Tamandua tetradactyla: one gene and its partners. The protein of the gene in region 1 interacts with the protein of each later gene in a biochemical or structural test. Links are inferred from orthologs where the notes say so. Each region holds a gene or a part of one and is shown on either strand. Other genes may lie near its edges.

Evidence for each region.
Region 2: of the proteins of MAPK3 (region 1) and MBP, one has a biochemical effect on the other in vitro, tested with the Homo sapiens proteins (5 studies listed by BioGRID). The link is inferred for Tamandua tetradactyla from reciprocal best matches to the Homo sapiens genes MAPK3 and MBP.
Region 3: of the proteins of MAPK3 (region 1) and PTPRJ, one has a biochemical effect on the other in vitro, tested with the Homo sapiens proteins (2 studies listed by IntAct, with this or other methods). The link is inferred for Tamandua tetradactyla from reciprocal best matches to the Homo sapiens genes MAPK3 and PTPRJ.
Region 4: of the proteins of MAPK3 (region 1) and GAB2, one has a biochemical effect on the other in vitro, tested with the Homo sapiens proteins (2 studies listed by BioGRID). The link is inferred for Tamandua tetradactyla from reciprocal best matches to the Homo sapiens genes MAPK3 and GAB2.

Annotation. Positions count from the first base shown.
Region 1 is NC_135349.1:24,645,703-24,652,599, reverse strand, and holds the start of MAPK3 (mitogen-activated protein kinase 3), read left to right. Parts: upstream 1-3,878; coding exon 3,879-4,060; intron 4,061-5,142; coding exon 5,143-5,325; intron 5,326-6,897.
Region 2 is NC_135344.1:5,464,910-5,472,296, reverse strand, and holds the start of MBP (myelin basic protein), read right to left. Parts: upstream 3,001-7,387; 5' UTR 2,813-3,000; intron 2,213-2,812; exon of another isoform or gene 2,113-2,212; intron 1,462-2,112; exon of another isoform or gene 896-1,461; intron 1-895. UniProt on the Homo sapiens protein: The classic group of MBP isoforms (isoform 4-isoform 14) are with PLP the most abundant protein components of the myelin membrane in the CNS. They have a role in both its formation and stabilization.
Region 3 is NC_135334.1:124,793,728-124,801,345, reverse strand, and holds the start of PTPRJ (receptor-type tyrosine-protein phosphatase eta), read right to left. Parts: upstream 3,020-7,618; coding exon 2,915-3,019; intron 1-2,914. UniProt on the Homo sapiens protein: Tyrosine phosphatase which dephosphorylates or contributes to the dephosphorylation of CTNND1, FLT3, PDGFRB, MET, KDR, LYN, SRC, MAPK1, MAPK3, EGFR, TJP1, OCLN, PIK3R1 and PIK3R2. Plays a role in cell adhesion, migration, proliferation and differentiation.
Region 4 is NC_135334.1:66,268,950-66,276,538, forward strand, and holds the start of GAB2 (GRB2-associated-binding protein 2), read left to right. Parts: upstream 1-4,587; 5' UTR 4,588-4,660; coding exon 4,661-4,735; intron 4,736-7,589. UniProt on the Homo sapiens protein: Adapter protein which acts downstream of several membrane receptors including cytokine, antigen, hormone, cell matrix and growth factor receptors to regulate multiple signaling pathways.

The DNA of each region.
Region 1 (6,897 bases):
TTTTCAAGAGCAGGCACTGGGAATCAAACCCAGGTCTCCAGCATGGTATGGTAGGCAGGAATTCTGCCACTGAGCCACCATTGCACCACCCTGTGGGTATTAACTTTTGATTAGAGGGAGATGTGACTTCTCCCATTCCAGATGGATCTTGATTAGTTTAATGGAATTCTTTAAAAGAGAAAATATTTTGGGGACAGCAACAGAGTCCACCAGCCGGAGACCTTTGGAGATGACGGAAAATACCACCAGGAGAGCTTCAAGGAACAAGAAGCCTGTAAAGACAGCTAGCAGATGTTGCCATGTACGCCATGTGCCTTTTCAGTTGAGAGAGAAACCCTGACCTTTATCAGCCTTTCTTGAGTGAAGGTAACATCTTGTTGGTGCCTTAATTTGGCCATTTCTATAGACTTGCTTTAATTTGGACAATTTCATGGCCATAGAACAGTAAACTTGCAACTTAATAAATCCCCCTTTTAGAAGTCTTTCCATTTCTGGTATATCGCATTCTGGCAGCTAGCAAACCAGAACAGAAGGCTAGTCCAGGGAAGGATTCAGAGGGGGTAGGCAGAACTGATTACAAAGACTTCAGAGAAGGGCCAGCTAAAGAATGCTTATTTCAAAGGAGAGTTGTTTGGGGATACCTACTGTATAACATTTGAAGAGGAGTCACAAGAAAACTATAGTGGAAGTTTTCTGGATTAAAAAAAAAAAAAGGTCAGTACTTAAACCTTGATAAATGTTTAAATGTCTTCTCACCCCATTCCTGCACACTTGCTGCCTTCTTGGGCCGTGCTGATTTGTTGAGTTAATCAAAATATTCATTTGTGCTCTGAAAAAACAAGGCCTTGCAATCATAAAAAGATAAGAACTGGGTTTAAGATTTAATCTGGGTAGATCCAGAGGACAAAACTAAGCCAAATAGTGGCCATTAGAAAAACTAACGATGCAATCAGCTGTAAAGTAATGAACTACCTGGTGGAGAAAATTATTCCCTTCCAACTCTACAATTTCAGTAAGTTCCTGCACTTTTTTCTGTTAAATGGAGATACTGGTATGTATTTCATATGGCTATTGGGAAGATCACAGGAGATATGGTACATAAAAGTGCCTGGCAAAGGAGAGATGCTCAATTTATAGAAGCTGAATATGAATCAATTAAATAGACTAAGAAATACCAGCCCATTCCTCCAAGGAAATATCAACCTCAACCACTAGAGGGGAGTCTCCGTACCACACCCTTAAAATGAACCTCAAAAATGCAGCAAGAGGTGGCAAATTGTCCCTCCAGATATATCAGCCTTTCCTATGCTGAGAAACTCACTCCCACTCAAGAAACCTGGCTCAGTGCTGAACTCCATGGTGTTTTCTCTGAGTCACTATACGCTCCTGCAGTTGCAAAATGATCTGGCAAAAATCCCTCAAAGGTTTTTACTGCTTACTGAGTAAGATCCAAACTCCTTGCCAGAATCCAAGGCCTTTCTCAGTCTTCCCCCATCCTACCTCTCCAGCCTGAACTCTTAATTCTTCACATTCCAGCTACCCTGGACAAGCCAAGCTCCTGCCTCTCCGCCTTGGCTCATGCTGCTGCCTTTCCTTTCTTGGGTCCTGCTGAAATCCTGCCTTTTCAATGGCTCAAATATCACTTCCATTTATCCTTCCCTCACTTCTCCAGAGTGACCTCTCTCACCCTTGAGCTCCCACGCTTCATATTATATCCATCCATCATTTTTTATAGAGATGAAATTAACATTACATAAAATTAACTATTTTAAAGCGAATAACTCTGGGGCATTTAGTACATTCATGCTGCCCTGCAACCACCACCTCTATCTAGTTCTAAAACATTGTCATCATCCCAAAAGGAAACCCATACCCATTAACAGTAACTCCCTATTCCCCAACCTTCCCCCCCGCCCCCCCAGCCCCTGGCCATCATCAATCTGCTCTCTGTCTTCAAGCGTTTATCTACTCTGAATTATTCATATAAGTGGAATCACACAATACGTGCGCTTTTGTGTCTGGCTTCTTTCATTTATCATAATGTTTCCAAGGTTCAGTCACACATAGTATTTAACAGAACTTCATTCCTTTTTATGACTAAATAATATTCCATTCTATTTGTGCATGCTTGTAAGTGTATATATAACCCAAAATTTGTTTTTCCAATCAACTGTTGATGGACATATGAGTTGTTCCCACCTTCTAGCTATCGTGAATAACACCACTATGACGTGATTGTACATGCATTTGAGTGTCTGTTTTCAATTTTGGGGGGTATACTTCCATCTACCCTGAATTAAATTGATTTATATATGTACATTTTATCTTTTTAGTAAATTATAAACTTCACAAGTAAAGAGGATGATAGATAATCCACCCCCCAAAAAACACAGGGAGTAAGTAACAAAGATGCGATTCTAACTCAGGCAAGCTGACTCCAGAGAGCTCCTCTCCATTAATTTTATACTGTACAGTAATTTTTCAACAGAGCTTAGCTAGAGCTTCGCACCACCATTTTATAGTTCACTAAATGAATAACTGAAAAAAACACTGCTCTGATTAGCACCTCTTGAACCTTCAGAGGTGCCAGCTATTGAAAAGGCAGCCACTCAGTCTCACCCATCTGAGTCAGACTGCCTAGCGGTGAATTCAATTATGAGCCATTTCAGAATCATAATTACTGTTCCATTTTGTCTCTTGATCTGGAAGGCATACAAGAACCTACTTCTAGCTACTCAGGAAGAAATAAACAACATGATTACTTACTGAAGCCTAGGAGATATGGGTTTTTGTGAAGCTTTCAGCTCACATCTTCAGTGTGCAACAAAGGGGGTAGGCTGGGTGGTCTCTAAGGGATTTTTCTCCAGTTCTAACAATTCATGGTTCTGAGAGATAATAAGAAATTAGAGAGCCTCGCCCCCTTCAACAGACGACATCATTTTGAGTCTCAGCTGTCATTATTGCTATGACATTAGCCAAGTCAGTTAACCCAAGTCTCAGAGTCCTCATCTGTAAAACGTGATTTGTTCTTATTTGAGTGTCTGAATATCAGAATTATAAAATCTGGTACAGATTCGAAAGATGATGATCTTGCCAGGATTCCAATTTTGCCAACTCCATCAGCAACAAAAACACTACCTACTTTGCTGGTTTGTGTGTGTGTGTGTTTTGTTTTTGTTTTTTGAGAAGAGCCTGCTAGCGAATTTTAATCAAACCCACTCAACTTTGCCTGCAGCTTTCTGGCCTTTCCCCTGCTCCCCAGGTTAAGGATGTCCGGCCTTTGTCCCTAAGCCACTAGGTTGGGGGCCAGGCCCTCAGGGTTCCCCAGCTCTCGCCTGTGCCGGCCCCCTCTCGAGGCTTCAGTTTCTGCATCTGCACAGGGCAGACCACAGCCACCAGGAAGCCCTCTCACACGGCCCCCGGGAAATACCGACGGCCTCACTCATCCTCAGGGCCGGGCTGCAGCGGATTGAGAGGACGGCTCCGTCTCGCGACCCCCGGCCGCCTCGCGGTCAGCGCAACGTCCTGGCTCCACCACATGCTCGCTGGGTGGCCTCGGAGAAGTTCACGGGCCGGGCCGCATTGGGCTGGCCGTGCCACTGACCCCCTCTACCCTCCCCCCAGGCCCTTCTTCGCGGACCCCAGCTGTCGCGCCCAGGACTACCACACCCGCGGCGGGAAAGCCGGGCGCGCGTAGGAGCGGGCCACGTGACCGGTCGCCGGCCCTCGCTCGAGCTCGGCGGGGGCGCGGCGCCCTCGGGGGCGGGGCGTGCCCGGGGGCGGGGCCTGGCGCGCGCGACCCCGCGAGTGACAGGGCGAGCGGGAAGGGGCGGGGCCTCGGGCGGAGCCGCCGGGCGGGCGGGAGGGGAGAGGTGGAGATGGCGGCGGCGGCGGCGGCAGCGGCGGCTGAGGGGGGCGGGGGCAGGGAGCCCCGGGGAGCTGATGGGGTCGGGCCGGGGGTCTCGGGGGAAGTGGAGGTAGTGAAGGGACAGCCGTTCGATGTGGGCCCGCGCTACACGCAGCTGCAGTACATCGGCGAGGGCGCATACGGCATGGTCAGGTGAGGGGGCGTTCTTGGAGGGGGTTATCGAGGAGGAGGGGGCTCCGAGAGCGAGGGAGGGGAGGGAGTGGGGTGCTGCGTGCTTCCTGAGACCTGGAGACTTAGAGCGTCCTGAATTGGCGAGGGACTCAAGAGGCTCGGGGAGCGTCCGGGGGGAAGGGGCCTTTGAGTGCTTTCTGGGGGGCGGGCGGGGGGGCGGGGTGCTGCGAACGTTTTAAGGTAGGGGCCTCGGAGGCTTTGAACGGACCCCCCTATAATGCAAGGAGGGGCATCTGAGTGTATGTGGGGAAGCTGTGGGGACCATGGGAGGGAAGGGGGCCCTTGGGGTGAAGCAAAGATTTCATTCTTGGGGAGGTGATATCCTCAGTGAAGGGGGAGTGAAGGACCCTCCTTTGGGGAGAGGAGGCCTTAGATCTCCCAGTGAGGCTGTCCCAGAGAGTTTGGGAGAGAAGAGCAGAGCTTGGGGCTGGGCAGGGTGGGGCAGGATTTTGGCAGGGGACCAGGGACCCAGTGAGTGATGAGAGCACCCGGAGTGCCCCCCTGCATCTTTTGGGAGGGGATCTATAAGTTCTTCCAGCCGCCCTGTCTGCTCTGGGCCTTTGTTCCTCTGGGAACTGCTCTGCTGCCCAGGTACCTCACCCTGAGACCTGCCCCTGCCTTGACCTTTCCTTCCAGGCCCTCCTCCAACTCCCTCTGCCTCATTGTGTGTCCTTCACTCACCTTCTACCCCCTGAACCTGTCTGGGGTGGAAAGAGCCCATTCTGGAAAGGGCGGTGGGGGGGGGGATGAGGGTGAGTCAGGGCAACTGGAATGGAAGAGGGTTAAGGAGAGGGGAAGTCAGTGAGCGGTCAGTCTCTTCCTCTGTTTGTAAAGTCACCGAAGGGCCTCCTGGCTGCTCCCCAGCCTTTTCCCTGGAGATCCCAACCCTTCACCAGCAGGAAGGAACCAGCATTGTTTATGACTTGGCCAGAGCCCTCTCCTGCTCCCTCCCCTCCCTGCCAAGGCTAGGGTGGAGCCAGCCACCAGGCTCTGGACTCCCCCTTTGTAAGGCCACACCATCATCATCTCCCTGGCCCTCTCAGCTCAGCTTATGACCACGTGCGCAAGACTCGTGTAGCCATCAAGAAGATCAGCCCCTTCGAACATCAGACCTACTGCCAGCGCACACTGCGGGAGATCCAGATCTTGCTGCGCTTCCGCCATGAGAACGTCATTGGCATCCGGGACATTCTGCGGGCGCCCACCCTGGAAGCCATGAGGGATGTGTATCCTTCACCCTGGCCAGATGGCTGGCCAGGCATGACTTTGGAGCTAGGCTGGGGGAACACTGGCCTTCTTTCTGTTTCCTTCTTCCCATCCAACCTTCAAAACAAACTCCATGAAAGAAACTTTCCAGCACAAGAGAGGCCAGAGTGTAAAAGGGTTGGGAGGCCTCAGTAGGATTCTGACCCTGCTCAGACAGGCTGTGTGACCTTGGGCCAGTCCCATCCCTGCTCTGGGCCTCTGGGGGGCTGGGCAAGATGGTCTGTATGGGATCTTTGTCTCCTGACATCTGCAGATCTGTGGTGTGATCCAGCCTCTGCCCACGGTCAGTTCTTGCTTAATAGACTGACGATTCTTTCCTCTTTGTATCCCTGGGCTGGAAGGCAGGCAGGCAAGAAGAAAGCTGCCTTTTCTTGAGGACCTACTATGTGTCAGGGGTTGTGTCTACGAAGTGCTATTTCGTATCTTCCAACTGCCCTCTGTCAAGATAGGCCTCACCAGGTCCATCGTAAAGATGAGGAAACTAAAGTTTAGGAAGCCTAAAATCAAGTGCTTCTTGTTGCTTTCTTCTTCTTCCCCCCGGATGAGAATCTGCCTTCCTTTGACTTCCCTCTCAGAGCCCTACCCCAGGTACCTCTGAATTTGAACCTTGCCCAGGGAGGGACAGACTAACCTTTGTTGCCCTTCCCCAATCTCGCTTTCTGAGTTTGTTGTCCACTTCCTGCCTGGTTTGATGGATTCTCTCAGCAGCTTTTCACACCCATTACCCTGCCTGTTCCAGCCCTCCACCAAAGAGTGGAGATTTGTACTGCAGAGTTTGCTGCCCCCACCACAAACTGAACAGGAAATCTCCACATTTACCCCCTGACTTGCTGTGTGATCTTAAGCAAGTCACTACCTCTCTCTGGGCCTTCCCATCCATAAAACAGCAGGATTGGTCCAGATATCCTTGAAAAGCCCTTTCTAGAGATGAGCCAGATGGCATTATTCATTCATTCATTCATTCATTCATTTATACTTAATCTTTGTTTTATCTTAAAATATAAATATACATTTGTTCCTCAACCTTCTGATGTATGGCCAAGGACTATTTTTTGAGTAGGAGTGTGCTGTTGGGAGTTTTCCTCACTTTTTTTTGCCTAAATCATTCCCATAAGGCAAACATTCATTTTCAAGCAAACATTTCTTGCATACCAGATGGTGTTCATACATTATCTCATTTAACCCTCTTAACAGCCATGTGGCACAGGCAGTTAGAATAGTAATAAAAGTTTGTGTTGACTGAGCATTAACCATTTCCTAAAGCCCTGAGCTGCTTACTTTACAAGAATCATCTCATCCAGTCCTCATAACCATCGTCCAATGAACGATTATTTCCTCCCTTTTACAGACGAAGGAATTGAGGCACAGTCAGGTTGATGCTTGTGTGAGTAGTAGAGTAGGGATTCCAAACATTGGCAGCTTCACTCCAGAACTGTCGCTTTTAACTGGGATGTTCCCCTGCCTCCTGTGGTTTATCATTATCCCCATTTTCCGTGTAGGAGAACTGAGGCCACAGAACAGTGATGCCTTAC
Region 2 (7,387 bases), on another chromosome or scaffold:
GTTGACTAGCCCACTGAGCTTTCCCTTCTAGACCAGTCTGTTCACCAGCACATCTTTCTTTGGGGTCACTTGTTTAACACTGTTGATTTTTAAGATTTTTTTGGATATATTCCATATCCTCACCATGCGTCTGTTCAGCCTTATTTTCCTGGCACCCATCTAGTTTTCATCCCGTCACTTACAGGCCTACTCAGTGCTAACTGCGTAGACCACGATTTGAGAATCAACATAACTAATTGTTATGTTTGAATGCTAACAATTGCTGCTCTGAGCCGCTCCTGGTAGGCTTGCCACATCGCTGCCAGTTGTCATGTGTTACAACCAGAGGGAAATTCTGCTTGCGGACAGCACGTGCAGCCGGGCTGCCCTGCCCGCCCGCCTTTCCCCACTGAGGCAAAGCCCACCCCTGGCACCACAGTCCTTCACCTCCAGCCCCTACAGGCTCTGCCTCTCTGGGGGTCCCTGACTGATGCCGACCTCAGCAGTGTTTCCCAGGTGCTTTTTTGCTCCATTAAACAGCGGCTGGGGCCGCTGGCACCAGGCCTGAGTTAAGCTCCCTTAAGTACTGCTTCCTGGCTGTTAATTAAAAATTATACGGAGAGTAAGGGGAATACTTTCTTTTGTTCTTTATTGACAAGGAAGGACACTAAGGAGAGGATGAGGGACTCAGACAGGGGACAGGGCCTTTCGGGTCCAGTCATCTGGAAGGAGACGCTTTTATCGGGCAGGGCCACTCATTAACGGTGGCATTTAAATGAGAAAGAGAAACAGAGGGGACGGGGGTGGGGTGGGGGGTAGGTCCTCCCCCACGGCAGAGGCGGCAGCGGGGTGGCTGGACACAACTCCCCCCGCCCTGGAATTCTGCTCTGCTTCTAACTGATCCTGTGTCTTGTAGGTAAGGTAATCACCATCTCTGTGCCTCAGTATCCCCCTGTGTAAAAACAAGAGGATCTTAAAAGGGTAACTGTCACAACAAGTGAGGATGTCACAGCGCAGCCAGGACTATTGAATAAAGTGATGCAGAGGGCGCAGGGCCCTGCCAGTGCCATGCGGACACAGATCGGGCAGAGGGGCGGCGGCAAAACCTGAAACGTGCTAAACTTTTAAAGAATTCGGAGACTCGCTAAAGAGCAAACAAAATGACCTTCAGTTAACATTTAAAATGTCAGAAATAGGAAAAGCCCCAGAAAGGTTGATCTCAATTCTTTTTCAGCTTTTACTGAATTCCTTTGATTGCGCAGATAGTGAGCGCCAACATTTGACCAGGAAGCAGAAGCCCAGGTTCAAAATCATGACAGAGCAAGTAAATACCAACTTGTAAGACAAGGAACTTATCTTTGATTTTCTTATCTTAGGGCAGACAGAAATGTAGTACTTTAGAAAGATTTTCCAAATAGATTTGAACCAAATTGTATTTCTTTTAAACAAGTTAATAAAAATAGCCATTTCAGAACAGTTAATTCCTTGGGAATTAACCATTATTGAACAATAAATTTTAACTTGATTTTTTATAGATAAAAGACTATTTTTATCTTACTTAACCCCCCTGCAGTTCCTCCTTGGCTGGTGGGAGCTCGCCTGCCAGGCTGGGTGGGGTGCTGTGGCAGCCCAGCTCCTCCCAGGCCCTCCACAAGGGTCCCTCTGCTCCTTGGGGACTGTCCTGTCCCTACCCAGTGTCACCCGGCTTTCCCCCTCCACAAACTCAAAGATAAACGGAGCACATGCTGCTTCTCCCACGGTGGCCCTTGGAAAACGGAGAGCAGGCCCCAGGAGTTCCAGAGTCTAAGTGAGACCCTTCCCGGCCCCAAAGAAACACGTTTCCACTCCCACTCGGCCTCCGGGGCAGAGGGCTGGAGCAGGCCGAGTCAGAGAAGCCCAGAGGGCCTGGTGCCACCCGTGTCCCAGAGAGACAACTTCAGGCGCCCGTGAGCACCGGCATAGGCAGCAGAGGGGCGGCCCTGTCCGGGAGGTGAGGGCAGCGACGCAGGGTCGGGCGGGAGGTGGGCGGCAGGTGGGCGGCAGGAGGCAGGGGGCGGGCGGGGGCCCTGGGCGGGGCGCATGGGCCGCCCGTAGGTTGCAGGTGGCGGGGCGGGACGCAGGGGCTGAGACCGGCGGGCGGAGGCGGAAGCGCAGGGCCAAGTCGCTGGTCGCCGCGCTCGCTGCTCGCAGGGAGACCGTGCTCGGCTCTCGGGAGGGCGCGGGGCCCGGCCAGGTGAGCCATTCCAAAGCGCCAAAGGCAGGCGGCCCTCCTGCCTGCCCCACGCAGCCCGGTGGCCGCGGGCTGAGCGCGGCCTGGAGACCGTTGTCACCTCCCCCCGCCCCAAACCGAGACTCCTCCCCGCGCGCCGCCGCCGCCCGCTCCCCGCTTAGGCCTCGCGGGGTCCCCGCCACCCCAAGACGGCGGACGTGGTCCGGACGCCACCGCGGACTCTGTCAGGGCTTCGGCCCCTTCTGCGGCGTCTACACCCGTGCCCTAGTTCCTCGCAGGGAAGACTCGGATGGGGGTGGGTGGTGAGGGGTGGGAGGGGGCGGGCTCGGGAGGCCGTGGGGCTGCCAACTGCTCCCGTCCCGCCCGCGCGGCCCGGCCACCTGCGCCGCTGCCCGACTGTGCCCCGAGCCCCCTGACCGCGGGGCAGCCGCCCTCGGCTGACACGGGCCAACCCTGCCCACACGCCCCAGAGGAGCTAGGCTCGGGGTTCCCTCACGCTGGTCCCCGAGGTCACCCGGTTCCCCGCACCTCGCGCTCCGAGAAGGGCTCGGGAGACAAAAGGGCCCCCGGCCACCCCGCCCGACCCCGGCGAGGGTCACTCACCCGCGCTGCGCTCGCGGCTCCGAGGCCGAGGGGCCGCGCGGGGGCTGGCGGCTGCCTCCTCCAGGTCCGCGGGCCCCCAGGCGGGCTGGTCTGGGAGTCGCCGCCGCCTCAGCCGCCTGCTTTAGTTGGGAGACGCGGGCCGCCAGGGCCGTAGGCTCGTCCTCGCTGGCGCGCGGCGGGGTGACTGACAGCGCTCTCCGCGGGCCCGGCGCGCACCCGGTCGCCCCGCCCCGCCCCCGCGCCGCTTCCTGGCGGCAGGTAAAGGCCGCCGCCCCCCGGGCCGCCCCTCTTCCCGCCCCAGGCGCGCGGGCCAAAGTGACCCTGTGAGCACACAAGGGTCAGCCCTGGGAGGGGTGGGAGGGCAGCTTTGCCGGTGGACCCCAGCCTTGGAGCCTACCCTCCGAATCGAGCCCCGGCCCCTACCTCCCCGAGGAGGAGTCTCAGAGAGCGTCTCCCCCTCTCCCGGCTCGGCCACCGTGGGGACAAGCACGCCCCCACCGTCCGGATCCGCAGCTCGCACCTGGGGTGCCCGCCGGGAACCTGCTGGGCAGAGCCCGGCCCTGTCCGGACCTGGCGCTCCAGGCCGTTCTCCCACTGACCCTCTGGGAACACCCACTGCTCTGGGGGTGCTGTCGGTATCAAACCCGGGCCTTGCAGTTGCCCCTCTAGAGGCAGGTTGTTCCTGGGTTGAACCTTCACCCACCGGCAGTTCTGCTGGAGAACCAGAGTTTTCCCAAAGGGGGCAAAGAACATACACCGGGGGACCCACCTTCTTCTGGAGCAGAAAGGGCTGGCTGACCCCGAAGTCCCCATGCTTCCTTTTGGTAGGTGGTGTCTGTCCTGCCCTGGTTAAAAGGAAGCCTGCCGTTTGAACGTGAGCCAACTGGACTCAGAGATCTGGAGGGAAACCCTGGTGGGCTCTGTGAGCCTTCCCCTGGACACCTCCCCTGAATTCTTGGTCTCTTGCCGCAGGTGGGTGGGAAAGACAGGAGATGGGGGAGGCCGGGCACTAGGGGAGGCGCTTACCCGGCTCCCGCTTCCCTTCCCTGGCCAGGGAAATGCACCTGGCGCTGTCAGGAGGCCCTCTCAGTTGTGGCCCCAGCAATCTCTTTCGGGGTCTCAGGAACACCCTGCCCAAGCCTGACCCCCCCCCACACACAGGGTCCCCGCAGGTCTGCCACGTCCAAATGCTGACTGCATCAGAATTAGCGAGTGTGTGTGACCTCTCCAGAGTGATAGAAAGCATCGCACGTGATCCTTTCCCGAGAGGAGCTGAAGGTGCTCAGGCTGGAGGCGGGAGGTGAGGAGGACACCAGCTTTTGGGCCTCTGCTACCAGCTCTTCAGTACCTGGTAAGTGGGGTGGGCCTGAGGGACACGGGCCGGGGGTGCCAGGGCCAGTGACATAACCCAACTCCAGTCACTCCCCCCAAACTTCTTAGGCCTGGGGATGGGAACACTGGGCTGTAGCTGGGACGTCTGCTTGGACATTGCAGACAGTTTCTCCCTCCCCCCGAAATGTGTCTCTGGTCGTCTCACAGTGACTCAGAAGAAAGCAACAGAGACTCGTGCCCTGCGAGCCCAGGGAGCTGGGCTTTGGCCCGTGGTGCCAGCTGTAGTCAAGTGGCAACCGGTGTCCTTCCTCTTTATGCCACTTCTGCTAATTTTTCAGTGGTTTAAAGAAATAGGACACCAGCCAGCAGTCACCTCTGTGAGTTTCAGGCCTTCCAACCCTGCCAGTTAAAACTCTTTTCAGAATGTTTATAAACTGCACCATCGCCCTTTGCCGGCCCACACGGATCCTACGAAGAGAGCGTTGAAGGCTCTGTGTGGGCATGAGGAGGTTGGGTTTAGAAGCTTCTCCTCGCCTTGGAAAAGGACCTGGGTCCAGGGCGCCCAGAGAGGCCCCAGGGAGAGTCGAGCTTTATATACAATGACAGCGCGTTTTTTAGCAAAATGACTGAGGTTCATTTGACAAAATGTGATCTTTTCCTCATGCTGAATAAAATTGGAAGGACTCTTGTTGGGAGAAGTAAAGGGTAAATTATCTGAGTCTCGCGTTGCAGACATTTCTAGGGAAACAGTGTAGTCCCTCCCCAGGTCACATAACCAGGGGCCGCGACCTGACCACATCCACGCGCGGAGTCCGGGCTGAAGCGGCAGGTCAAGCAACCTGAGGAGCTTCTAGCGACTTCAGAGCACATGTGCTTTGAGCTCTCCTTATTCTCCTCCATCTGGGAAAGGACTGGGCTCACTTCCACCCCCGGCTTGTGTGTGACAGTGCGCTGGTGACAACGCATTGGACAGGGTCACGGCGATTGCTTCTCCAGAGGGTCCAGGTAACAACTAGAAAGTCCCGACACGGTCACTGAATTCAGGAAGACAAGGTGAGTGACCCCTAGGTGAGGAGACAGGGATGTGAAGCCGTGGTCGGGGCTCAGTGCGCTCGACTGAGCACGTGTGCGCCCAGAAACCCGCTCGCTCCTCGCTGACACGGGAACTCCGGGGTGGGGGGAGGAAAGGAAAGGGGGTTTGTAGGGCCTGTGACGTGGGAAGGAGATTGTTGAAATGATATTTTTATAAACTGTTTTACAAAGTGTATATGTGCGTGTGTGTACCCCTATATGTATAATATTTTTCTTTAACCATAGTCCCATAACTTCATTAATGAAAATAAAAGCCAGCAGCTCTCTGTAGTGATCAGGATCACTCTTTTAATGAACTACAGGGGTATATATTATATATTGTGTATTTGAAAAGAAACTGTACATATGCTCACTAGTAAACACACTGTGGTAGTTAGTTATCCCCGTCAGTTAACTGTGGTTAACTCTGCTATTTGAATTGCTTTTATTTTATTATTATTGTTATTTTTTTTTTGCAAGGGCAGTCACCGGGAATCGAACCCGGGCCTCCGAAATGGCAGGTACCACCACCGTACCACCTTGAATTGCTTTTAAATAATTTTTTTTAATTAAAGATGCTATGGATTTACTGAACACTCATGCATAAATACAGGATTCCCATACACCACCACATTATTAACACCTTGAATTGGATTAGGACATTTGTCACAATTGATGGCAGCACATTTTTATAACTATAATATTAGCTACAGCCCACAATTTAACTTAGGGGCCACCATTTGTGCTGTGCAGTTCCATGGATTCTTAAAAATTGTTTATTCTGCTGCCTTCTGTACAACCTAACATTTTCCCTTTCAACCATCTCAGATATATATTTCTTTTAGAGTTTCTTTATTTTCCAGTTTGCTCCCTGATTATGTATGGGCTGCTTTCCAGTAAACCTCTTACATTCTTTGGGCTGCTTTGCCGCTCCTTTAAGAAGAGGAGTTGGTTTGGCAGTTTGCATTTTCCAAAAGGCCACATCGTCTCCAGGTCCCCAGCTCTTCTTACCTTGTGGGATGTGCTGGGCCTGCTCTCGGGTGCTGCCCCCAGCCTGGGTGAAGCTTGTGGCTGCCCCTGACCCCTGGCCTTCACCTTTTGGACTGATTGCTTTTGGCTCCCCCCCCCACCATCCCTCGAGGAAGACCCCGCAGCCCCGAAGACCCACAGACCCGCAGCCATGCATTCGTTGACAGCCCAGTGGGGACACTCGCTCCCAGCCTGCCCAGCTGCCCAATATGGGTGACAAGACTGCGGAGGGGATGGTGGAGACAGGAGCCTTGAGGGCAAAATTCTGTCCCCACCCCCTGTTCCCTCTACTTCTTATAAAGATGAATTCTGCCTCCAGAAAAGAGATTGTTTTATTTAACTGACAGTTTTACTTACCAAACACTTTACTTTCATTCACTCGTTCATTTATTCCACAGATATTTTTAAGCCCTTAAATGAGACGTGTCCTTCAAGGAACTAAAACCTCTGGTGTGGACAAAACAAGGGGGCAGTGAGCATGACAGGGTGTCAAGAGGGTGAGCTCTGGAGGCCCGGGGACACAGATGGAAGTGGTGAGGCCAGAAGCCTAGGGAAGCTGACCTGCAAGTGGGGGTTTAGATGGATGAATAGGAGTTCTCCAGATGAGAAAGGGTCAGGGCTGGGCTAACTGGCCCAAGGGGCAGCATGTGTGAAGGCAGCCAAGGAGAGCTGCAGGTGCTTGGGAGAGGAGGCAGGGGCCAGAGGTGCAGTCCCCACAGTGCCCACGATGAGAATAGAGGAGTCAGAAGGAAGTTGCTGTGTGCCTGCCTGCCCTATACCGCTCATTACTGCATCTCCCCGGCCAGCGAGGCAGTAAGCCTTTTCCTGTCTCCATCTCATGGGGCAGGAGCAGAAGTCCCAGGGTCACAGCACATGCCAAGATGGTGCAGTGAGTGCGTGGCCAGCAGGCGGCGGTGGGCACCCCATGGGAGAAGCTGGAGCCCCCCTGCCCCAGGCAGTGGGCAGCGGCATTGAGTGGGCGCTGGGGAGGCAGAGAAGGCCAGCTCTGGGCCAAGTGCTAACTCCAGTGACGCCATCGGGGAAAGACAATGAGATGCTCCGGAGGAAGTGAGCAGAAGGGGCCGCACCTGCGGCAGGAGGGGGACACCCCGATTAAAAGTCCCAGGCCAAGGGCTCTCATGA
Region 3 (7,618 bases), on another chromosome or scaffold:
TATGATTAGATTTTGGAAAACCATGTCACTCCACCGTTTCAGGAGTAAACAATGAGGCATTATTGTGCCTATGGTGAAGAGTGAAGCAAAACATGGCAAAATCTGTATTTATTTACTTATTTTAGTATATATATATATATACACAGGATCATGAAAGCAGTGGACAGAGGCAGGAGGCCCTAGTGACAAACCTGCACCCTACACTATCTTGCTAGACAGTCTTGGTCTAGTCAGTGACTTCTCTGGACCTCAAGATCCTCATTTAAAAAAATGAGGGGTTTGAGGGATCTTGAAAGTCAAGTCCAACTCAAAAATGCTCTGATTCCCCAAAATATCCAATATGGAAAGGAAGTGCCAAATGTGGATTTTGAAGACGCTTTTTCAGAGAGTCTTTTAGCTTTTTATAATGTCCAAAAATGAGAAATTAAAGAGGCTCCTCTTGTGTTTCTAAAGAACAAACTGTAAAGGAAGGAAATACCTGACTATGGGACAAGTGCAGAGTGGCAATATGCTAATGTAATACGAGGAAGGATTGGGCAAGAAATAAATTTACCCAAGCAACTTTTTGCTGATTCAAAGCACAAAAGCTAGCAACCACCAGGGCAGAGGCCAAAATAAATTTAAAAATAAATATTTTGATCTATCAAATTAATTTAAAACTAAATTAAGTATTTCTTTAGTATATGCTTTGGTACAACGTCTTTAATTACGGGTGTGTGCTTGCTTTTTTAACCTCATAGGCTTCTCTCCATGAAATTCCTCCCAGAGACGGGGAGAAAACGGCCAATAAACTGTACCTTTTACAATAGTCCCTCTGGACGCCCTTTAATGGTGACAAGGTCCCGTCGGGCCGGGGCCCACGCAAGGCCCTCCAGCTGCTCCTGCCTTGTCCAGGGGCGCGACCCGCGTGGCAAGGCTGCGGTGCAAGCCCCGAGCGGCGGTCCACGCGCTCTGGCCTCCGGGGGACCCCGGGGCAGGGAGGGCTGCGTTGGCCGCCAGGCCCCAGGCGCCTCGGTCCTGCCCGCTAAGCCGCTCGGCTTCCCCGAGGCTTCCCTGCTCTCAGGTGACCTGCACTGGGGACTGAAGTTTCCCCGCGCCCGGGCTCCTCCGCCCCAGGCGCTCGCTTCTCGGGTTTCAAACATCACCTCCTCAGAGGCGGCGGCCGCACCAGACCCGCGAGACTGCCCCCACGGCCCTCCCCGGCCGCTCCTGCGGGGGCTGCGGGCCCGAGCCCGCGTCCCGGAGGCGGGGGCGGTGCAGCTCCGCGGCCGGGATCGCCGCGTGCCCCCTTCGCCCGGGTGTGCGGGACCCGGGCAGGCCCCAGCCGTGCACCCCGCCCGTGGGAATGCTGTGGCGGGGCACCGGCGTGCCGGCCGCTGGGCGCGATCTCAACACCCGCGTTCTGGGGAAGGCAAAGGCGAAAACAGGGCGGGGGGCCGCCAACGCCCCCAAGGCGCGATTCAAGCGCCGGGAAGGAAGCAGCTTCCCCGGGGAGACGACGGGCCGTGCGCGCCGGGGCACGATCAACGCCGGCCGCGGCCACCTTTCCCGAGCCGGACCTTCCCCAGGCGCTGGGCCGCCTGCCCCGAGGCCCCGCCCCGGCCCGGCCCCGCGCCCCCGGCCCCGCGTCGCGGACGCTCCGCGCACACGCCCCCTCCCGCCCCTCGCGCGGGCCCGCGCCGGCCGGCGGCGACCAGCTCCGGGAAGGGCCGGGCCGCAGCCGGGCTGGCGGCGCATTCGCCCGCGCGGGGGCTTCCACGGACGCCGGGGGGACCCTGGGTCGCGCCGCCCCAGCCCGGACGTGGGGCGGCCGTGAAAGGGCCTCGGCCGCCGGCGTGCGAGGCCGGCCCGGAACCCTGCGAGGCCCCGCAGGGAGGGGGCCTCGAAGACCCCCGCCCCTCAACCCCTCCCCGGGACCCAGAGGGCGGGGCCCGCCGGGCAGGTGCGGGGATGCGCGCCCCGCCCGCCCACCACCCCCCCGGCCCGCGGCTCACCTGGCCCAGGCGCAGCAGCAACAACAGCGGCGGTAGCGCCCAGCGCAGCCCCCGAGCGCGCCGAGGCGGTCGCGCCCCCAGCGCCGAGGGCTCCATGCTCCGCGCGCCCCGCACCGAGCCCGGGACGTGGGAGTCGGGCCCCTCGGGCCGGCGCCGCCGCCTCCGCCGCCGGCCGCTCCCGCCGGGCCCCGCTCCGCCCGCCCCGGGCTTCCTCGGGGACACGGCAGCGGCGGCGGCCACTCGGCGAAGCGCGGCGCGGCGGCCGCGAAGGCGCCGCGTCCCTGGGCTCGCGGGGGCTGCGCGGGGCGGAGCGAGCGGCGCCCACCCCCCGCGCTCGGCGGCCCGGGCCCGGTTCCCGCGGCTCGGCGGGCTCCCGCTGCCTCCTCCGCGCGTCATGCGGCCCCGGCTGCAGGGAGCCGTGGCGAGCGCTCGCCGCCCTTCCCCCTCCGCTCTGAATATTCATCGCTTCCTCCCGCCCCGGCCGGCCCGGCCCTGAGCACCCCCGCCCCGCCCGCCCCGCGCCGCAGCCCCCGCCCCGCCCCCCGCCCCGCGCGCCCCGGCGGCCCCCCCGTGCCGCAGCCCCCGCCCCGCCCGGCCCCCCACATTCCAGGGACTTGCGACCCGGGACGCGACGCAGCTGCTCGCCCGCCGGGAGTCCCGACCCCGCTGCGGGTCGCCACACGCTGACCCGACCCCTGCCGAGGGCAGAGCCCGGCCTGCGAGGGGCCCCTGGCCTGGTCCTTGTCTACCTTGGGGTGCACACGCCCCGAAATTGCCGACTGCCTGCTGCGCTGGGCTCTCCCCACCCCCATCCGGGGCGAGGCCCAGCTCTGCCCCCCCCCCCCCCCCCCCCCCCCCGCCGCCTCGACCCCGGCAGCCCCGCTAGCCCCTGCGCCTCGCGGGGAGGGTAGTGCTGGCACCTGGCTGGAGGGACCTGCTGGGGTTAAGTGAGATGGGGTCACCCTAAGCCTGGCGCCTGGCCCCCGGTGGGCCTCAACAAACGTTGGCTCTTGGGGCCGTTCCATCCCATTAGCAAAGGGTGCGTGACCTTAAGATTAGAGTTTCCTGCCAGATACTGTTACTGCAGGGCTCCTTCCCAGAGAAAAAGCTGAGGCTCGGGAGGGCACCGGACTTGCCCCAGGAGGCGTGGGGAGAGAAACCAGGAGCAGTGGGGCGGGAGGTTAGTCCTGACCAGGGAGGGCTGGCACCTGAGCCGATCTGATGCTGGGTGAATTTCCACAGGCAGGTGAGGCATCTCAGGAAGTGGGAGCAGCCGGAAGAAAACCAGGAGGCAGGCGCTTCAAGTTGGGGGGGGGGGGGGGGGCGAGGCTTCTTTTGGGGGACAATTTTAAAAGTAGAATAAAGAGTTTGGGGCAGGTTCTTGTGTGCAGTGGCGTGGAGACCAGCAGGTGTCCAGCACAGCCTCCAGGCCCTTTGGCCCTCAGGTTCACCACCTGCAAAGGGGGAACTCACCTTTTTAAAGGGTCTTGGGGTGGGCCGGGGTGGAGTGGGGGTGGGCTGGGGTGCAGTAGGAGGTGGGGGTAGGAGGGTGAGCGTTCCCATCCACTGGACACACAGATAGGCACAGAAGGTCAAGGGGACGTCACCTGTTGGCTTGCACACCTTGCCATCTTTTGTTTAAACATTATGCAATGATCATAATCCACAAAGCACCCTGGCAGAGGCAGGAGGTTTGAAAGGCCTTCCTGTCCGCCAATCGCAGAGAGAAAGCACGCCCGGCTTGCTTCAGCTGTGACCTGGTCCTCAGGCTGCCGCAGACCTCCACAGGCCTACAGATCTCCACCCCCACCCAGACCCCTGCGGCTGCTGGTGTCTCCAGGAGCTCCTGCGTGCACTTGGGTCTTTTCCTGGGTATGCGCCCACGTTAAGTGCTGCTTGGAACCGATTCCCCTGCTGCACGTCGATGAAAACGAAAAGATGGTCTTTTCAGGAATGGGAGCGGTGACCAGAGTAGCAAGCTACCTGTTCCTCCGAAACCAGATCACAGTGGGTTAGTGCCCTGGGCAGGAATGAGTTCAATCCCGGGTGGGTGGTGTAAGCTCCCTGCAGGCAGGGGTTGGGCCCACCTCGCCTGCTGCTGGCCCCTGCTCAGTGCTCACACAGCAGGAACCCATACGCTTGTGCAGACGCCTGGTTGTGCAAGAGCACGCAGGGTGCGGAAGCCCATTCTTCCACAGGGACGAGGGAAAGGGTTGTCACACACTCTGCCAAAGAATTTGAGACCAGATTCCAGCTCAGCGGTCTCATCCCTGGCTGCCGCTTGCCCTGCACACCTTCCCGGGCGCCCCAACTGAGCTGCGGCTGCACCTCGTGCCCCCAGGGCCACCTGCAGCCTGAGGCCTGTATGCCCGCCTCCTCACCCGCCTCGGCGGGCCCGGCACCTGGGACCCTCAGGCGGCCTCTGTTTACCTAAATGAATGAATTCCTCTGAGTGCACCCTGGAGCACTAAGTATATGCATGTTTCTCGTCTCTCTCCCACCCGCCCACCCCCGTCTCCCATACACACGCACACACACACACACACACACAACAACAACAACAAATTCCATTTACTACCAGCTTTTCAGGAATAAATCTGTGCAAAGGGCAGGGTAATGCTCCTTGGGAACACCTAAGGACACCGACCTTTTACCAGGTCCACCCTCAAGTACTGGCTAAAGGGTCCCTGAGCATGGGGCCGGTGAAGCCACCAGAGTGCAGAGTTCCTGGGGCCTGCCCCAAACTGCCCACTAGGCGTCACTGGGCTTGTCACAGTTTGGCTTCCCCTGCCTTTCCTTAAGGCTCTGGGGGTAATTTCTGCTGTCACGCAGGACTGGGGAGTGCTGGCCGTCCCGTGACTGGCCTGCACAGGGTCCCTAACAGCAGTAAGTGCCATTTATCCAGCACCTTCTAGATGCCAGGCCATGTCGTAGTACTTCACGGCTCCTTACAGCAACCCTACAGAACAGGTGTCGTTACCAATACTCCACAAATGAGAAACTGGGTCTCAGAGAGGTTTAATTGCTTGTGCGAGGTCACACAGCTTCAGGGGGCAAAGCCAGGATTCGAACCCATATCTGTCTTGCCTCTATGCCGTTCTACCCGTCCATGTGATGTCTGTGGATGTGTTAATATAAAATGCTTAAAAACATTCCTCTAGTGTTGGCTGCTCTGGGTGCTTTTATTTTTACTCTCTTGTGTCTCAATTTCCATACTTTTAAAGTGGGAAGAGACAGAGCATGTAACTTTCTTCCTGTTCTCCCAAGAGTGGAGGCCAGGAAAGGCCACGGCCTCATGGCACGTCCCCACCCCACTGGAGGCTGCCCTGGCAGCAGCCTGGAGCCGGGCTCTGGCCCCGCGGGGTCCCTGCAGCCTGGCAATCCTCTGTCTATTTCTAAAGCTGCCGTGAGCTGCCGAGCCCTGCTAAGCGGAAGGGAATGTTTCTGTGAGTCTGATTAGCTAACGCTGCAGGCTTGGCTGCCTGAGACCTTCCTGCCTCGGCCACTTGAATTGAATCAGAATGGAAAGGAAGGCTTTTTTTTCCAGTTCATCTTTATAATAGTAGCCGGATGTGTTCCTGTGGGCTAATGATTGGGCTGTGGTCAGAGCCCCGTGTCTGTCCACCAGACAAACAGCCCCCTCCCCCCGCAGTGCCCTGTCACCTGCCCATGCAGAGAGCGTGGGTGCCCCGGCTGTGTCCTTTTTGGTTTCCGACTTTAAGCATTTGCAACAGTAAGCATTTTTCTAATTCTTTTTTCTCCTAAGTGTGTGTGTGCAGATAGGAGGCAAAGTTTGACTTCCAAAGAGACTTGCATGGGACAGATTTCGGCACAAGGAAGCAAGGAAGCCTACAGTTGCCGCTTCAGGGACTGGGAGTGCAAAATCGGGGGGGCCCGGCCCAAGGCCCCCCACTTCCCACAAGGGCAGGCTTGGGCCAAGGCTCCTGGGGCACCTGCAGACGTGGGGCTGAGGAGACGAGGGGCTTTCCTTCCAAGGCCTGAGAACAGGTTCTGCAGGAAGAGCAGAGGTGGCAGCACGGCAGGAGGCCATCAGGTCTGCACACAACAGCCAGCTCAGATGGAGAGCCGGAGAGCCGGCCGGAGGGGTAGCGACCGGGGAGCGTCCACTCAGAGCCTGTGTCCCTCAGCTTCCTGGCACCGGGCTTCTCCCAGGCTTGTTAAATTTTTTTCATTAGCAGATTGGAAAGAAATGTTCTTTATTTTCAGATGGAAAAAAAACATGTAATCACGTGGTGTTGAATGTATGGGACATGCGGGGTAAGAAGTGAACTTGGAACAATTGTGTCATGTGGAATCTTTCTGGCAAGGAAGAAAGCACCCTGCCATCTCAATAAACAAAAACAATTATGTATCTGTAATATATACAAATTGTGCCCATAAGTGACAGATGAGTGTATATAGAGATATTGGCCAGACACGAGCTGGAGCCTCCCTGACGGCAGCGTGCTGTGTGGGTGTGGCAGGGGCTGAGACATCCGCTGCCCGAGTTCGAAGCCTGGTCCTCCCACTGCACAGCTGCGGCCAGGGCAGGTCACGTCAGCCCACTCCACCTCAGCGCCCTCACCCACGAATGAGGTGGTGGTGTCACCTTCCTCAGGGACTGTTACAACCATTCAAACAACAGTGAATGCCACGCGAACACTACCTGGAAGGGAGTAAACACTTGGCGTTGTCAGCTGCTACTGGGGAAATGCACATCAAACTGCAGTGAGATGCCCTCCCACCCCGAGAGGGTGTCTGTACTCAAAACTGGAAAGCATTGAATGCGGGCAGAATACGGAGCCACTGAAAGCTCTGTGTGTTACTGGTGGGAGCGTGAACCGGCGCAGGCACCGTGGAGACCAAGTCCGCAGCTTCTCAAAAAGTCAAGCGTCCAATACCAGGGCCCTGGTGGTTCCACCGCTCGGGGTATATGCTCAGAAGAAATGGAAACAGAGATCAAATGGTACTTTTGTGCACCAGTGATCACAGCGGCACTCCTCACGACAGCACAAGGCGGGGCACGCGCGTCGAGTGTGGGGGCTGGCGCAGGGCTGCGGAGCTGCGCGCGGTGGCATGTGCGGTTCAGCCCAGAGCAGGAGCGAAGGGCCACTCCGAGTTCACGCCCACGGGCCTGGAAGACAGAATGCTGAGTGCCATGAGCTGGACACAGAGGACCAGAAGAGGAGTCGTGCAGACGCCACTTGTTTGAAATGCCTAGAATAAGCAAATTCGAGAAGATCAAAAGTAGGTTCGAGGTTTCCGGGGGACAAGGAGGAAGAAGGGGAGTCGTGCCTATTGAGGCCGGGGGTCTGGGGGAGGGAAGGTCCGTGGCGGGGGGCCAAGGTGATGACGGCGCAATATCACGATGTAAGAACACCACCGGACTGTCCCTTAGCAATGTTAAAGTGGCTAGTGTTGTGTGCTATATGTTACCAGAATAAAAAAGAATTTCAGTGCATCCCTGGCGGCTCTCCAGCAGGAGGGTCTGGTGAGAAGAGGCCTGGGGTTCAACGTTGATGCTCCTGCTGCTCAACCTTGGCCCCCATATCCTCAGCGGACAAGAAAATGGTGATTTATTGACTCAAAAAGTTACGGCGAGGGCAGTGCGACGGTGGCTCCCA
Region 4 (7,589 bases), on another chromosome or scaffold:
GATCAGAGCAGCCACAAAGTGATTTAGTCCCAGAAAGGAGATTCTGTAAGTCAGTGTCAGGGTTTGGAAATCAAGAATTAACACAATTAGCTCTCTGGAGCCTGGGGTAAAAAATAAAAATAAAAAACCTCAGAAAAGATCAAAGAAGGCAAGCCGTAGTTTTTAAAACTACCTTTTTAAAGTGGAACCGCATATGATTACCTCCACCTGCTTAGCCCTTCCATCCAGGCCAGTCCCTGTAGATTTAAACACTCCAGTCATATAGTAAGTATCCTCACAGATACAATTCTCTGCTATGGGTGCACCTGAGAGAACTGGATGTTTCAGAGGTTCCCAGCCCCTTGAAGGATGTCTTGGACTTGTCATCCTTCAAGCATTTTGGTTCATTCATTCTCACACATACACAAAACTTTAATGAGTATCTATTGTGTGCCTGACACCAACCTAAAATATCCTTGGAAAAATATGAGAGATTTACCCTCCAGGAACTCACAGTTCCTTGACAAGTAAACAAATATTTGCAGTACAGTGTGATAATCATATTTATTTTTACTAGGTGCAGTATGAATACAAAGAAAATGAACAACTGTGCTGGGGAATGAGCAGGGTGAGTTTTAGGAAAGGGAGTATTGACAGGTTTAAGATATAATTTGAGATAGGAGTTCTCTCTGTGAAGAAAATAAGGGGCCAGCATGCAAAGCGTTCAACAGTCTTTGCTCTTGGGAGAGCATGGACAACTGATTTTGCAGTGGGTTCAGTGCAACACGATGTTACCAAGCTGACCAGTAGCAGCAGAAATGTCCCAGGAGCAAACCTGCCACAAAGCAATTAGCATAGGTTTTGATTCTCTACAATGGGAAACTAAATGGCACAAACTTTACCAAAATGCCTCCCACTGATGTAGTGTAACTCTCATATTGTTAGCAGCCATCCACAGAGAGGGAAATCCAAATAGGTCTTCAACCATACCCCAAGCCCACTTCCAGATCTCAGTTCCAGCAGATCCAAGAGTTGATTTAAATCAGAGGGTAATTTGATGGAGTGAACCAACTGGGCTCTAAGTGACTTGGGGTTAAAGAGGCAAAACATATCAAGATGCCTGAAAGACAACAGTGTCCTGGGAGTCCTCTGTTGAGGTGACTCAGCTGGTCATACTGACCTTGGCAAGCAATGTGCAGCTCTGAAATTAACCTGTCAACTAAACTGAAGGGGAGAAAAGACAGAAGGGCTACAACACAAACACCGTCCCCACCCCCAGTCCAATCGCTGACGTCAGGCCTGGCGTGGGTGGTATTAATCACACCAGCCTGGTGTGCAGTTGAGGACAGCTCTCCTTCCAGCCCTTCCAACCCGTTCCTGGGAGCGTTCCACCAGCCATGCACCTGCCGCTGGCCACAAACTCTCAGCTCCCAGACAGGCACGGATGCAGGCTGTCGCTGACGACACTAAAAGCCACAGTGCACCCTTTAGAACCCGGGCGTGGAGGGGGGTAGGGCAAAAATTGGTACCCATGCTCCCCTCCCAGGTGTGACTGCTCCCTCCCCACGATCCTCCCTGCCCCCCACCCCCATGCACACACATAAGATTGTAATTTCCTTGGAATGTAATGAGAATAAGAAATTAATGACCCAAAACACTCCTTGGAGCCGGTCATTAATCCACCCCACCCCCACCCCCCAGGAATTACCCCATGGTCTTTAATAGAAATTGCCTAAATTATAGACTAGCGATGCATGTCCGCACCGGTTGCGACGGGGAGGGTGGGGGAAATGTCGTCCCAACTGGTTCCGGTAGGTGGCGCCTGTCTTCGTGTAAATAAATTACTTAAGTAATTTGTTTTCCCTTTCTCCTTAGCGAAAACCAGGGAACATTTTTTAAAAAGGCAGCGGGTGGGGAGTACTCAGTAAAGGCCCAGACAGGAACGTTTTGTCCGAGAGCTGTTTTCAGGCCTGACAGGCATCCCGGGCTCCGAAGATTGAGACACACAGGGTGAAGCCAGCATTCTGAGTGCAGCCTGTACTGGGCGCTGGCAGCCAAGTGATGAGGAAGGTGCAGAGAGAGAATTCGGGAAGTGAGGGAACAGAAGAGCACGGAAGAGAGGGTGGTGTTTCTCCAACCTTTGGGGAAGGAGGGTGGTGTTCGCAGACTTCCTGATATGCCCATACTCTGTAACTCGTATTTTAAGGCCTCTCCCATCATTGGCCATAATTCTCATATGGAATTGTAAATAAAAGCTTGAAGTCTTCTAAGACTTCTAAGACCTTAAAGAGTTTTGGCTGAATGTGACCTATCCCCCAAGTAATCATTGCTGAGCAATCTCCCATCTGTCATGAATCATATAAATATTAATAGGTATGTAATAGAAGACTTACGACTCTTCTAGGGAAAGATAAGGCATATGGATGCCTGACTTGCATCATAAACCTCAGCTGCTGCCAAATCCTGAAGTTTTCTCAGACTCCTTGCAGTCCCTGAGACTTGGCACCATGACTCAGATGTGAATAGTCAGTAAGATTACTTTATTTTGGTTGGGAGTCACCGCCTCCTGATCAATCTGGCACTTTGAGTGTTTTGATATTTATGTCATAGGTTTTTTTTCCCCATGAACCAGTTTATTTGCATTTAACATGATTATACAGATTCATGTGTTTAACAAGATCTGCACTGTTACATTAAAAAATGCAGTACAATAACGTTCAATATGAGATACTTTATTTTTTTTCTTCATAAATAATGTTGAAAGCCACTAAATTCAAGCTCCCTCATGCACAAAGTGGCTACAGGATCCTGAATTTAGCTGAGCTTGTTTAAACACCTTATAAAAACAAACAAAAAAGACATTTCTGTGAAACAATTATGTAGAAATTAGATCATTTACTTAAATAGTATTTTAAGATAGGTTCAAAGAATGTTACATGAAAATTGCTGACCTAGTTACCCTTTATTCTCAGTTCTCCTAGAGTTTTAAGGTAATTCTGGTGGTGGCCTTTGCATGTGGCTTAAGGATCTATGAACTGAAAGGCTAAGGAAGCTCTGGTTCCAGCTATTGTTATAGTGCTGGCTTTAAACTCTATTCAACAGCATACTGGACAGTGAAGAAAGTCAGTGAAATACTGGGGTCAAGGGAGCAGCTCTCTAAATCTCCCAGGGTGCCAGGAAAAGCTAAGCGCCCAGTAGATGAACGTCTAACTCAACCAAGATGAAAGTCACGCTCCTTGAAATAAGTAGCTTAGCTGCTTGGAGACAGGGAAGTGAACAAAATAGCTTTAGTCTAAGATTGGGAGAGAAAGGTGCTTTCTGAAAGGTGTTTTTTTTAAGAGATGCTGCTTCTCCAGTTCATGTGTGGCAGTACAGTAACCCATTGGGTTACTATCCACTTGAAAGACAACTTGGGGCGCTTAAGGCTGCTTATTAAGGAACTTTGTGAATGAAAAAGAGCTACCAAAAGTATTTTCATGTTTTTCTCCACCCTACCCCTGAAGTGCTGGTGTTGTCAAGTGTGTACTTTCACATACTTTATCTGAGTTAAACCTTACCACAGCTCATGGAGAGATGTATCATTATATTCCAGTTTACAAATGAGTCCCAAAGAGGTCTCATAGCCTATATAAATGAGTTGGAACTTGAGGAATTTTGCCCCAATTTTTCTTTTTTCTGTCTTCCAATTTGCCATGATATACACTGACTAATTTTTGCTTCGTCAGTTCTTTTCAAGTCATACAGATGTTCTTTTACTGAGCCACTTTCCCAGAGGCAGTATGGGAGCTTGCTGGACTTTGTTTCCTGACAAAGACCAAGTTGATTCATAGACTTTAAAGCAGTCCCCCCATTTTAAATAGCAGATAAGCACAAACCTACCCCTACCTCCTCGGAATTAGAAATCTTGCTTTGCATTGTACTAGTGCTGACACCTTAGGCTATCTGTAAAATAGGAACACTACTGCCCACCAATTTGTAGGTTAAGACAATCATCCGGCACTTCGTAGGTGTGTTTTCCTTTTTTCCTCCCGCCAAGGGAGTGTGAGAGTTAATGAAACTCTTGCTGCGAAGCGGATCACTAATTTCAGCCAGAACCTGACCCGCTGAAACCTGAAACTCTGGGAATGGACAGGAAACGTGAGCAGCCTTCGGGTCCCTTCCCCGTCAACTCTCCTTGAAAAATTGATCCGCGACCGACAGCCCTCTGATTCCTCTCCCCTCACACCTCCCCTCCAGGGCGCGGCTGTCTCCCCCAGTCCTCCGGATTTTCTGGAAAAGACTTCAGAGGGGAAAGGAAAAACAATAATAAATAAAACCAGGACGGGAGCGCAGCCGAAGGTAGCTTTGGACGTTAGCGCCGACTCGGGTCCTCCGGCAGCCGCGAGGCGTTGTCCGCAGGCGGAGCGCGCGGCGGGCTGTGGGCGTGGCGAGCGCGCGCTGGCCGCTTCCTGCCGGGCGCCCCCTCCCGGCCGGCAGCGAGTGCGCGCGCGGGGCCGGGCCGGGGGCGGGGGCGAGCGGGTGCGCGCACTCACGGCTGGGCCCGCGCCGCCTCGTCCTCGCCCGGCGGCCCCTGGCGGCCCCGCCCCTCCCTCCCGCGCGAGCTGCGCACCGCGGGTCGACTGACCCAGTGGCCGGCGCCCTTGTCCGCCCGACCCGGCGCGGGCTCCAGTCCGCCGACAGCATGAGCGGCGGCGGCGACGTGGTGTGCACCGGCTGGCTGAGGAAATCGCCCCCCGAGAAGAAGTTGAGGCGCTATGTGAGTGCAGGCGGCGAGCGGGAGCGGCCGCGGGGGGCGCGAGCTAGGGGCGCCCGGCGGCCTACAGAGGGGTGGGGGCTTCCGTAGGGGCCGCGCCAATGGGGACGGCGGACCTTCCCCCGGGCCTGCGGGGGTCGAGGAGTGGTCGCCGCGCCCCGCGGCGCCGGGGTGTGTGGGGCACCTGCACACCTGTCACAGGTGCGCCGCCGAGGGGCGGGGCGGCTGGTTGAGGCTGCGGCACCCTCTGCGCTGGGCAGGCACGTCGGAGGCACCTCCCCAGCCAGCCTCCTTGTAAACTAAACACAGCGTTGAAGTTTGTATTGATTGTTTGGGGAGACCGAGAGAGTTGATTCCCCGGGCTAGGAAGCACAGTAACCCTGGGCGGTCTCCCCCTGCAGGGTCGGAGGAGTGGGTGGGAAAGGGGGGAGTAAGCTGTGTGGCCGCGCGGCTTGTCCCGCACAAAGGGCGACGCGCCTCACACCCTCTCCCTCTTCCCGTTCTCTGCCCGCCCCTCCCGGGTGGCCGTCTGCTTCCTTCCAGTCCAGAGCTTCTGCATCATGGGCAGCGTCAGCGGCATGTGCAGCCCTTGTATTAAGTGACTCATTTGTTTGTTCCCCTTCTTTCCCTTTACTCCGTATGTCTCTCACATGCATACCCCTCCCCCGAGTGTGACACTGCAGTTTGGTCCGTTGTAACTAGCCTGGGTTTTGTATTGTGTAGACCTTGGTGTCTGGGGTCGGGAGAGATCAAGGTTCTCAGTTGCCAGGTGGTGCTAACCCACAGTGTTTACTGAAATTGCTGGGACAGCGTCTCTCCTCTGCGTGAGAAACTGGCAATATCAAGGGGGATGTGGTACAGCCTGGTGCTGAGCTGTGAGGAGATAGGACGTTTTTTTGTTTTTTAACCCGAGGATGTATGCCTGGTGGGTCAAAGAACAAAACGGTGCGTTACAAATTTTGGCAGAAATCAGCCCCGGAGTTGTGGCCGGAGTTTGGAAATGGAAGTAAGGTCGCTAAAATGCCTCAAAGTCTCCCATCTTCGCCCTCTTCACTTCCTACAAAATGCCCTTGTTACGACTGATTTTTGGTGCTGGGCTCTAGGATTGCTCCCATAGTCTGGAAGTGAGGGCTTGTCTTCCAGCTGCAGTGCATCAAGGGAGCTCTGAATAGACCCTGCCTTCTGTCAGCTGCAGCAGTGGCTGTCCATGGGGGGAGAGGCAGAAGCTTACCAGAGTTTCCTGTCTTGGCTCCCCAGATCAGAATCAAGGGACTTCTGGCCTCTGGACTGAGGAAGTGACATTCTGTTTTTCAAAGGAAGTGTTGTTATTGGGGAGTGCAGGTGTGTGTGTGTGTAAGAGAGTGGGGGAGAGAGAGAATATGAAATCAGGCTCTTAGATCATTTACTGGGAAAAAAAAATCTGAGGATTCAACACATGATTTATGAAAGTGGACATAGATTTAAAGTACAATAGGGTTGAGAGAATGACTGTTCATCTCATTTTCAGGGGTGTCTGTGTAGCTAAAGTATTATAATGACTAAGAAAGAGACTTCTTTCATCTTCAGGGTTGTATCAGCTTATTAGGAAAGTTGATTGTATTAAGTTGAGGAGAAATATCCTGTTAGCATATTTTTATATATATATATAAATCTGGGTCCTCAAAGAGCTTCTAAAAATTGCCAATAAAAAAAAGTTTCATACTATGCAGTGAAATAGTGTGCAGTAGAGAAGTGACCCTTAATTGTCAAATTAGAACAATATCCTAAAAAACCTTGAAACTTTGTTTTGAAACAATTTGCAAACAATTTAACACTGTATCCATATTTGACTGGTGGCTACTTCAGACTCTCTTCAGACCCATTTCTTGGGTATTTTTATTGCTGAGCAGATTTAGCTCAGAATAACCAAGTTTGGAGGCTTTTAGATTAAGAAACTTTTCACACCTTTGAACTACTTAACACCCTAGAGTCCTGATCTCCATCTCTGTTTCCCATCTTCCTTGCAGTTTCTGCCGATAGCATGGTGTATTTCACTGGTATGAGTGGAACCCTTTCCCACTATGGAAATTCATTCCCCCTGGTTTAAACTGAGCCACTCTGACTAACCCTAAACTCCTGTGGAGCAGTTTGCCTTTACATCTCCTTTTCTTTTTGGGTGTTGAGAATTTCTGTACCCCATTTTAAGTTAGAACTCTGCCAGTTCCCTCTGTTTATTAGAGGTCCAAATTCATTAGAAGCAAACTTGGAAAGAGTAATTGCTTAACATAAACTCCAAAACAGCTGCTGCTTGTGGTGACTATAATATACATGTGATTTTGTAGACTGATAAATCTTTCTCATAAAAATATATCAAATTTATGAGTTAAGGGAAAAAGCAGTTTATGAAATAAATTAAAATTATTTAATTTTTACTTTTTAAAAAGCAACATTTCTGGTTTAATTTGGAGTGAGGGGTAGGTGTAGGGGAAAAAATCAACCTGGAAGAAGCTATGGCAGATGTTATTGGGGATTAGGTTTTAGCAATTTCCCCCCACAATATTTTCTATTTTATTAATCTCATTTAAATGTAAAAGGTTATGTCTGGTATTTGCTGAGTGCCCTAGAGAAATTGCAAAAAATGACCTCAGGAAAATTGTGAATATTGCCCGCGGGCATCAGGATAATGGTTATAGTGGGAGACTGGCAGGAGAAACTGAAAAATCTTCCTTTGCCATTGAGTACTTAGTCTCCCAGTATGTGTGTGTGATATATGTGTGTGTGTATATAGACATGCATATAACTGAAATGGGATTTTCTTGAGTAAAAAGCTTACTTATTGACAAACAGTGCACTGCAGTTTTCTGTTTATTTCACAGGT